Caenorhabditis elegans: one gene and its partners. The protein of the gene in region 2 purifies or fractionates together with the protein of the main gene of each other region. This does not show direct contact. Each region holds a gene or a part of one and is shown on either strand. Other genes may lie near its edges.

What was found.
Region 1: the proteins of zmp-4 (region 2) and srh-56 fractionate together in Caenorhabditis elegans (co-fractionation; one large-scale study listed by BioGRID). This does not show direct contact.
Region 3: the proteins of zmp-4 (region 2) and ZC443.2 fractionate together in Caenorhabditis elegans (co-fractionation; one large-scale study listed by BioGRID). This does not show direct contact.

The regions. Positions count from the first base shown.
Region 1 is NC_003283.11:2,770,052-2,773,808, reverse strand, and holds srh-56 (Serpentine Receptor, class H), read right to left. Parts: upstream 1,950-3,757; coding exon 1,604-1,949; intron 1,543-1,603; coding exon 1,352-1,542; intron 1,029-1,351; coding exon 798-1,028; intron 620-797; coding exon 541-619; intron 478-540; coding exon 290-477; downstream 1-289.
Region 2 is NC_003283.11:14,919,868-14,923,624, forward strand, and holds the start of zmp-4 (Peptidase metallopeptidase domain-containing protein), read right to left. Parts: upstream 1,743-3,757; 5' UTR 1,735-1,742; coding exon 1,621-1,734; intron 1,261-1,620; coding exon 1,163-1,260; intron 1,118-1,162; coding exon 999-1,117; intron 802-998; coding exon 714-801; intron 671-713; coding exon 546-670; intron 499-545; coding exon 339-498; intron 1-338. Other genes in the region: srg-54 (Serpentine receptor class gamma), read right to left, coding at 2,121-2,240, 2,489-2,578, 2,625-2,831, 2,881-3,021, 3,088-3,169, 3,220-3,350.
Region 3 is NC_003283.11:12,809,632-12,813,269, forward strand, and holds ZC443.2 (uncharacterized protein), read right to left. Parts: upstream 1,562-3,638; 5' UTR 1,528-1,561; coding exon 1,228-1,527; intron 1,109-1,227; exon of another isoform or gene 982-1,108; coding exon 721-981; 3' UTR 581-720; downstream 1-580. Other genes in the region: ZC443.1 (NADP-dependent oxidoreductase domain-containing protein), read right to left, coding at 353-427; ZC443.3 (Glutamic acid-rich protein-like), read right to left, coding at 2,961-3,119, 3,246-3,638.

The DNA of each region.
Region 1 (3,757 bases), about 12 Mb from region 2:
TGAATTTGCGAACATTGAAAAAAATTGTCAGAAATCCTAGAGTTATCGAAATTACCAAAATTGACAACTTTGCCGATATGGATAAATTGTCAAAATTGCTGAAATTCGTGAAATTGCCAAAATTTTTCAAAATTGATGAATATGCCAAAATTGCCAAAATGGCTCTCACTAGCAAGATGCGCATCTGTTTCCCGAGTGAAAATAGTCAAGTTTTGTCCAAAAAAAACATATTTACTAAATATTTGTAAAAAAATCTTGCTTGGCAAATAAAACGAAAATTTAAAAAAAACTAATTAGACACACTTCCATGTGGAGACGTCACAGGTTCCACGATGATAGTCATTCTCCGTTGTGAAAATCGTTGTCCAGGGATCAGACTTTTAGTGAAATCTCTGTATGGTTTGTAAATAAAAAGGGTGCAACAGGTGCATAGAAGTCCGTGATTTGCCATAATTAGCATAGCGTTGTTGTTGTAGGCTGCAAAAGTTTGGAACGTGTTAGCCATGTTTTGGCTTTTTTAAATAATTTGCACTTTCTCACCTTGATTATAGTAATTCATTTTGTCTGCATACATAGTGTAGGCCACAGGAAATGCAATGGCAATCCATGGAATTGAGATCTAAAAAAACACATGCTAGAATTAAATGTTTAAAATTTTAAAAATTTTGTGGTTTTTCAATTTGTCAAAAACATTTTTAAATTTTTAAAATTGAAACAAACCCATTTAAATTTTTTTTGCATTTTTTTGCAGTTTCATTTGGCTATTCCAGTTAATTTTCAGTTATAGTTATACTCACCTGAATAGAAACATTCTTCAGAAACTTTCGCTGAAGATTCTTCGTCGCCGCCGATATTTTGGCACTTGATACTAGTGTGAGGTGATAAACGGTGTGTAACAAAAAGAAAAAAGTTTGGAAAATAACAAATCCAAAACCAATTGTGATTGACCAGAATGGCAAGACCTCTCCGCCCTGCAGCAGTACATAGGTTTTTGGGTCCCAGAATTCGCTCGTCGGACAGGGGATTCTCTGTAAAATTAAGTTGAATTTGAAGACGGGTGTTAAATACACACGACCGAAAAATATAATAAACACTTCAAAAGTTTTTAGTTATTCAAAAATTGACATTTTTGAAAAAAATTGAAAATTCCCGCAGATCTGAACTCCTAGAATGTTTCAATATTATTAATAAGAACGCAATTAATTCAAAAAAAATCTTTTGGTCGACTTCCAAAATTAGGATATGTGAAAACTGAGAGTTTTCACATTTTTGACTTTAAATATAAAATTTTATAAAATTTTTTGAACATTTCTAATATCTCTGAATGGGCATTTTAGTACATTTTACTAACCTCCAAGACCTTCTGTCTCATTTTCAATTGGTCAGTGTCGTCTAGATAAAATGGAAGCATAACAACAAATGTGAATAAATAGTTTAATGCGAAATATGTTAAACGAGTTTTTCTCCGTTTGATTTTGAATCGAATCGTGGAAATTTGACTATGTTGATTTTCATAGAGCATTATAAAACAGACACCCATCACTGAAAAACATGTGGTATTTGAAATTTATATTTAAATTTCCTAAAAGATCCTAAAACTTACTAGTGACGGAAACCTGTCCCCAATACGACTGCCACTTGACACCTACTCCCAAATATCCTAGAAGCCCAAGGGGTACTCCGGAGGCACTCGGAAAAAATATATACGGCCCCGAGTACACTGTGAACATCAAATCGAGATTTGTGCTCCAAGCCAGGGATATTAAAAGTGGGATTTTCATATTTTTCATCCGCTTTGGCGTCTTTGTTATAACTGTGTAAAATGTGAATATGGATAGAGGAACTGTTAAAAGTGCTGTGAAATGATATGCATTGCGCAGATAGTCTGCCGAGCCAAAATAGGAGTAGGTTTCCCGGCAGTTTGAGGTGTTGTTGTCTGGCCATGCCATTGGTTTCCTGGAAGATGTTTAATATAATAGGTTTCGATAGGAATTCCGAAAGTGTTCACAAGCTAAGCGTTACAAGAAAAATTCCTTAAAAAGCCAGAAAACCAGAGCCTAAAAGTTCAAAGCCCCATTTGCATGTAAAATGATCCGCGCGGTAGAGTTGGACGCGCCGAAAAATTCTTGATCGTTGATGTAATACCACCGTAATCCTGCTAATTTGATAATTTGAGGTGCGGAGTTTTCAATTTTTTTTTCTCGGAAATTTATTTTTCTAGGAGGCTCTGACTTGGAGTTTCGATGTAATGCTAAATGCTGTGTTAGTGATTAGGGACATTTAAAAAGGGAAATGTGTTTTGTGACAGATCAAATGATCATCTAGGTTGGCGATGCAAAACAATACGGCAAAAAAGTGTAAAAAACTGATGTCTTGCAGCGGACATTTCCCGGGTTAATTGGAAAGTAAATGGGACCCCACATCTTTCCTGATTTTTTGTCCGGAATAGAGGCTTTACCAGAAAAATCTTTACAATTAGTTCTTCAATTTTTACAGAAACCTTTTTATTTCAACATTTCAGAATCCTAGGTTCAACAGCTGGAAATTTATCAATTGGACAAAAACTTGGTTTTAATTCTATTCAAACAAGGGCCTATTCAAAAAAATTGAGCTTCTTATCCACCTAAAAGTAACGTTTGATCCAAATTATCGGGCTAAGAAAGGACTAAGAGTAGTCGGTGCTGAAGATGAAGTCAAAATTGAAAATCAAAGGTTTGGGGTACATGTCAAAAAAAACAATTGTAGGAATTGCTAGAAGAAACTCAGCGGATTCAGTTCGAATAGTTGTTTGAAAAAAGTAGATCCTCATAATTTGTTCGACTTCTAATTTGACCAGAAATCTACTACACCGCAGTAGAAATCAGGTATCCTGCTGTGTTTTGTCTGTGGCTTCTTAGCTGCCGAAGCGAGAAAAATGCAAACAAACTTCGAAAATGTCATAAATTTATGCTATTTTTGCAAACTTAGTGACGACCTAACAAATCTAGAAAAATTGAACTTTCTACCAAATCTAAGTAGATTTTTTTGGAAACCAATAGATTTAGTTATATTCCAAAAAACTACATACTTATGAAACTCAGAAGTAAAAGCTTTCAAAATGTGACTGAACTCGCCAAAAAGTTCAATAAAATGAGCCGCGCGGTAGTTGTTTCACGCCGATAAACATTTGATCGTTGATGTAATACATTTCCACAAACCTGCTAATTTGATCAATCGGGGTACACAAGTTTCCCAATTTCCTTATTTCTCAGAAATCGTTTCTCCAGAAGGTCGTGTTCAAGTACTTTTCTGACTTGAATTTTTGATTTATGGTTAATTGTAAATGTTTCGTGACCAGGAATCTTTCAGAGAAAAACTTCTTCTTCATCAAATTACATAATTAAATGTTATTTGAATATTTAAACAATCTGATACTTATTTTAAAAGTATGGTAAATTTTTGTAAAGTTTTTGAAAACCTCAGGGGTCCTGAAGCTGTTGTGTGGTCGATTTTTCAATTTTTGAGGTATCAGAATTTAATTATAGGTACGAAGTTTTTTTTTAAGAAAACCACTGTCTGGATAAAAAATTATTTTTCTGCAGTGTTCCTACATTTTTTGTACGAAAGTTTTCTGGCGCCAAAATGAAAGAATTTACATTTTTTAGATTTACCTTCCATTTGGTGTTTGCGAGTCATAAATCGAATTCCACTAAAATAACATTTGCACACAATTTAGCACAAAACTTTATAGCCGCTAATTAAATCTTGCAACTCATAG
Region 2 (3,757 bases):
TTTTACTAAATTATTATTAAACTAAACTTTTTTATTTTATATTAAACTATTTATATTAAACTTTTTTATATTAAACTTTTATATTGTTTATATTAAACTAAACTAAGCTTCGCATTGAATTTCTAAAATTAAATTCAAGATGTTGTTAAGTTATAAATTGTTTAGGTGCTTTTTTTTCACAATTTACGAAGCTTGTAGAATTTCTTTGTAGAGTTTGTATATTTTTAGGGTATTTGGGAGTAGGTAAACATTTGGGCTTATTTTGAAAATTTCTATGCAACAAAAATCATATCAGATTTGCTACAAAAATTTAAATGTCTGTCATTATAACCACTTACCCTCTATAAAAAGTGTGTGGCAAACCCAAAATGTGTCCAATTTCGTGAAGAAGCGTATGATAAAGAGAGATTCCCATTGGGGCTTGTGACTTGTATGCCCATTCCTGATTTTTATCAAGAATGATATGACTGTTCACTGGTTTTGATGCACTTCCAGCAACTGAAATTACAGTATAAAATATATAGAATTATATAAGGAAAATCTACTTCTCAAATTGCTTTGTGGGACATCGTAGAAGGTGATTGTTATATCTGGGGTTGCTCCAGTTGTTTCCACAAATTTGAAACCACTGGCTCTGGTCCATTGTTCAAATGCTTCATGGGCGGCAGATCTGAAATATTTTTAGGATTTGTTTTTTCAAATTTTTAGCTAACCTTATTTGTGCTTGAGAAAGAGTATTTGGAGTGTTTACCACTTTGTAGGTCAGTGATTTCTTCGTCCATAACTCTTTTTTCGAAGCTGCTGAAATTAAGCTGTGAATTAAAAAGAACTAGAGGAGCCCTCGTAGAGTATAGAATTCAAATAAAATGTTTTGTAGCCGACACCTTCTAGGTGCTACCTCCATCAGATTTTGACACTATAAGAAATGCGGAACCATCGAGGCGTCTCGCGCTTCATTGAATTTACCTACTAAAATATTTTAAATCTGTTATTCTCACGTGGAATTGGTTGTCCCTTATCCATATCATTATTAGCACATCTCCATTCGTTCATTTTTGCTTGAGTTGGAACATCAACATCTCCTGATGAATAATAGAGGAATGCAGATTGGAAGCGACTAAACAACTTTTTCAAAAAAGTTACATTTACAATTAGTACTTACATAAGAGCATCTTTTGTCTGTTTTTCACTTGGCTCTTGAATTGTTTTTACATTTTGGTGTGGTTCAGGAATCATGTAACCGAATTTGAAGAGATATACCTGAAAATCTCTCAGTTACAAACTTCATTCAGTCATTTTTTAAGAAACTTTCTTCAGAAGAGTTTCTATAATTAAACTGTTTGTATGTATTGTGAAACTGATGAAAACAAAAAATTTTCAACATCACACTGACAAAGTAGCTGTTGAATAATTTATTCAAAACTTTTTTCTAAAATTTCAATTTCAATGTTTAATTTCAATGTATTTCGTTGCAGTTGAATTCTCCTTTTTTTTAATTTTCTATTTAATTTTATTTCTCTTTTGGAGGCATTTTCCGGGCGAACGAAGGATGAGAGAAAAAATAAAAGCGAAAGGCAGAATCACTTCCTCACTTTTAAAACTGCTCAAACTGCTACATACCTTGGCTTCATCCATGAGCTCTTTCTGAAAATTTGGCTGACGAATATCTCCATTTGTGCCTGGAATTCCAGCAGAAACCACTCCAATAATACCCAATAAAAACAAAGGCCACATTGAATGACCTGAACTTAGAAAAATAATCATAAAAAACAAAAGGAAGAAAAAATAGGTAAAAACAACGGAAAAGTGTCGCATGTGAACAGGTTTTTCCAACTTAAAATAAATTGATCTTTTCATTCAAAGTAAATAGAAAAATCGAAGAGGTAATCGAAACAAAAACAGTTGGAAAAACTATCAAATGATGAAGAAAATAAGAAAATTGGATTCGATCTTTTTTCTCTTGGTCATCTCGCCGAACTTGGTAAGATTGTGATATGGGTTAGAACAGAAAAAAGGAAGGGGAAAAATGACAAAATGATTGAGTGAGTGATATCATTTCTGTTAATCATATAGATCGAAGATCACTAAATTTTAAAATGGGAGACTTAATACAAATAATATTAGTTTTCTGCATAATTGGATGCTGTTCTGCTGTCGTAACCTTTTGATTTTTCAATTCTCAGAATTCTTCGCATGTTCGAGTCAAATGCCAGAAGGATGTACGGCATGGCTAGAGTTACCTGAAAAAAAAAGAACTCCAACAAGCGAACTTAATAAAGAAAGTTCAAGACTTATTCTTTGACATTCTCCTTGTTTTTCTGTTCTGGCGGTGGAAAATATTTTAAAATTTTTGAAATCTTAAACCTAAGCAAGCTTCAACTGAATACACACAATATCCAGATTCAACTTCCCGCTTGAATCGACCAATCAGCTGGAGAGGGTCGAATTTACTTTGCGGGCAGATTAAATTGATGTTGGTATAACCTACCATATCCGATGTAAATGTTACAGCAATTGTTTGTATTTTCATAATAACTGTTCGAAAAGGGCAAATAACGTACATCACACTGGTGGCAATCTGAAAACCAACTAAAAATATTTTAAACCTGAAATCTGTTGAATACCAAAAGCAATAAATTTCCAGACATCAAAAAACTGTTACAAAATATGACACGTGTTAATTTTTTAATAAAGTGATTATGTCTTCTCGAATGACTCTTTTTCCATCTGTTCTCTAAGAGTACAGTAGTCCAAACACCAATTAATATAATTAAAAGAAAATAAAATGCAGAGAAATATGGATTTATAGATGCTTGAGTTAAAAGTGCTCTCTGAAATTACCAGATATTAGGAAATGTTATTTTATTCACTGAAAAAAACCTGATTAACTATTTTAATAAGTTTCCCATCAATAATTCTAACTCTAGTAACATAATTTTGAAAAAGCCACCATGGGGAAATAATAATAAAAGAATATAACAGTCCGAGAACTGGAACTAAAAAATACCAGCGATTCCATACCTGAAAATTAATCGCAAAATATTATTAGAGTATAAAGTATTAGAGTAGAATTTCCAGTCTGCATACCTTTTCAGAATTTATTGAGTAAACTGATGTGAAGCGATAAATAACTAGAAATAATCCCGTAACATTTTGCAAGTGGAAGTATCTGAAAATGAATAATAATAATATTTTTTTAAAATATGATATATATCTTACAATGAAACAAAAAGCTTTGACAGTGTGAGGCATCCTGGAAGAGAAGATTCTAGAAAAATAAGGAAAGTTCGTCCGATTTCGAAGTATTCCAAGCGGATAGCTAACCAACTATTGATGTAACATGTAATATTCTGGAAGTTTATCGTTTGAATAAAGTCTGAAACTATTGGAAACATTATTTCCTAAATTGGAGTTTTTCAAAAAAACGAAACCTGATAGTGGCATTATTTAAATTTATAGATTAAAAAGTGCCAAAAAAACTATAATAATTTTGCTAATCGACCTAAATTTCGTGTTTTTCCTGAATTTTATACATATTTGTTTTTTTAAATTGTATAGCTTTAAACACGCAAAACAATATTTTAAAGAAAGGAACCGAAATTTTTCAAATTTGGCACTTGAAATTAAATTACCAATTTCTTGCGAGGGATTTTTATTTTAAAAATTTCAGTGTAGTTATTCATTTGTCAATACCAGAGTAAGTTTGGAAACATGTACTACATTTTTCAGTATCTTCTCTAGCCACTTTCCCCAAACA
Region 3 (3,638 bases), 2.1 Mb from region 2:
ATTGTTTTTTAAGTTTCGAAAAATATCAAAATTTTGTAAACAACTGAACCAATACAACAAATTCTTGAGAAATTATAGAGTGGACTCTTTTCTTTGGCTCATACAGATTTTTGAGCGAAAAAATTATTTTCTAGTTTGCTTCTCTGCTTCTAAATATTTCCGATAAAACATTTTTTGTCTGAATTATTGAAATTTGTTGGGTACAGCTATCCGAAACTTTAATAAAATTCCTAAAAATTATATCAATGTACAAAAACTGGCAATTTCAAGTAACATTACAACCAAGTGTTGAATAAATCCTTGCTAATGGTAGTTAATTTATTCTAAACTTCAAACTAATTTTAAATGTTACCTGCCAGGTACCAAGACCAATACTTGGCATGAGAACTCCATTAGACAGAGTGAAGATTGGAACTTTTGATGACATTTCGAAGGAAAATAAAGTTTGTATAGTTGGGGGTACTTCATATTTATACACAAACCGCAATCCTAATTATCGAATTAAAACTGGAAGAAAGACCTTGAATTTGTGGTCTGTGTGTGTGTTTCTCTTAATATATAAAGAAAATAGTTTGCGCTGTTCCAATTTGTACTTCGTTTTATTGAAATTAACAACATGGACGAGGGGAATGATGAGGAAAAGATTATGTCAAATGGGTAGAAGTAGACGAATAATGACGACTTGGAAGAACACAAAATACATTTTTAAGTACCAGAAGTTTAGGTGACTTGTTCCATTTCCTTTCCATTTTTATTTCTAATTTCTCGGTCTTTTTCCATCTTCTCCAGTCGTGAATTGGTGTATTTGTAATATCCTTCCTTCCCTAAATACCACATCAAGCGATATTCATGCTTTTGATTCATTCTCTCTGCTTTCTTTTTTCTTTCCTCAAAAGTTCGTTCCAGTTTCTCAAGTCGTTTCTTCTTGTACATTCGGTATTTTTCAATAATATGGTCGTTGTGGTCGGCAAAGATGTGAATCTAAAAATTCGATTTTTTTTTCAATTGTAGAGAATTTGGTGTATGTTGTTTCCTAACAGGATTAAAAAGTTAATTTGATGTTTTTGTGAGTTCATTGTACATTTTAACAAAATAAACCTACATTTGATATATGCCAACCAAACTTTCAAAATTTTCAGACTGGAATTTAATTTCAAATTTAAGACAATAATGCCAAACGTGTTCAAGATTTTGACATCTTTATTTAAAACAATTCTAGAAACTCACCGCCCATTCTCCAGCTAAGCCGTCTCTTTTGAATTGAGCATTTTTTAGAAGATAGTCATCTAATGAGTTTTCCAATGCAAATGCCGATGAATAATGAAATCGGAAAGGTTTAATACATCCAATTGGGTGAAGAGAACGGAAGAAATGCTGAAGTTTTGAATAGTTACTATCATTCATTGCAGCATATCCAGGGAAATACTCATTGAATTCTTCAATCGCAGCGACATACTCAATTGACATCAATTTGTGCTCCGATTTTGGGAATGTATCTCTCCATAGTTTGATTACTTTTTCGAACATTTTGAAGATAAGCAGGTTAGTTAGGAAGTGTCCCTGGAAATATTATTATTGTTATTATTATGAAAGAGATGGATAAATGTAGTAAGTATGCAAAAAGTAAATGAAAAGCCAATCGTATGCAAAAGAATAAATGGACAAAAGCTGTAGAGAAGCAGACAAAATGAAAGAGAACGAGAAATAGGATGAGGAACACTACACACATACAAACAAGGAGGCAACGAGTGGACCACCTCAAGCATCTTGTGAGTTATAATTTGCACACACCCCCCGTACACTTCCCCGCTTGTTTTTGATTTGATTTTGTAAAGGATGCAGAAAAAGAATTGAACAAAACAACACGTCATGATGCTCTGCTAGAGTGCTTGGAGCAAATGATAAGAGAAATATTAGAAGCTTTTATTGAAATCAGGTGGTCAGTGGGTGAAGCGCATGGTTTTCCCACAACAATGTGACCTCGATTATGAATTACAAGACTTTATGAAAAATTCGTACTTTATGAAAAATCGTTTGGTAAAATCTTTACGACTTACTTCCGTACTGGATCATCCTAGTGGGTACCTTCATAATACGTACAGTAAGCCTTCCACAAGGACGCAACTTGCGAAAATATTTTAAAATTAAACTCAACAATACTATTTTTAGTTGAACTTAGTTAAAGCTAGAATATGCGAGATTTTAACAAAGTGTTTATCCTGAAATTTAGTGCTGGTCTTGCTCTATTATTTGTACCTTCTATTGGAAACTTGACACCGTGAACTCATGATTTTCTATATCAATTTTCACATTTTTCCACCTCTTCAAAACTTTCCCTCTTTCAAGCTTGAAGTCCCTCTTCGGTTTTCTACAATGCTAACGAGCTTCAGTATCACGCATTACCCATGCGCAAGAAAATGAGAACAGACAAGAAATTTCAATCAAGCCTATTATTATTTTTCTCACTTTTTTTTCCTGTCTACTCACTTTCTCTTGAAGGAAAAGCTTAAAGCAGTGGCACCCACTGCCATCACTACTACAAACCGGTCATTGTCAACAAATAACACAACAACGCATTTTTGTTTTGTTGACGCCATGATGCGCAAGCAGGCATCTAGAATTATTATGCAGTGGTGGGATGGTAATTGTGAAAAATCCGGATGTTTTTACATTTTATACAAAAATTCATATAAGGAGTTGAGGAAAAATGAATACTTGAAACATGAATACATATGAAACAATTAGAGAAGTTACATTTCTATGTACAAATAAGAATGTTAAAAACATTTAGTTACAGTTTGTTCAATTTAATAACTAAAGAAAAACAAACGGTTCTTTGGCATTATTGAACAATTTTGAAAATGAAAAAATTCGGAAGAATGTTAATGAGAAATTTGAAGCAAGAAACACGTTACAGAGTGCACAAGTACCCGTTGGCAGAAAAGCAAGATACTTGGCACCTATAGCATTTCATATTCTAGAGCATCAACGTCCTTGTCCTCGATTTTCTCCAACTCTTCAATGTCACTTCCATCGTCTGAATCCTGATCACATTTGTCGAATTCTTCATGACTATCGGAATCACTCGCATCGTCCACAATTTTCGATTGTGACGCAGCCTAAAAATAGTTTTGTTGAAACTTTACGAGTGAACAATTTGCTTCCCAACAATTAATTAGAAATAACGAGAGAACCATTTTATTTATTATTATTTTGCACAAATCAAACTTTAAGCTAGAACTTACTTTTGTGTTCTTCTTGTCATCCAAGTTCAGTTGCTCCATAACATCTTCTAAAAGAGATGCTGCAATTGTAACTTCATTCGTCTTTTCGGGAACATCTGATTTAAGGTTTTCAGATTTTTCAGTTTTATCCTTTTTCACAGTTACAGATTTAGCAACTTTGAATTTTGCTTCGTGTTTCTTTGTCACAGACATCATCGACTTTTCTGTACTACTTTTCGATTGATGCTTTTTTTGAATAAGATTAGCTTTTGCAGCAGATATGGCAAGTGAATCATCTTCTTTAACCGGCAATGAAATAATGACATTTTCAACTTGCACAGGCGCGGCTACAACAGTTTCTGGTTTGGTCAGTTCACAAACAACCGACACGTTTTTCTTTTCCAGCTCTTCAAT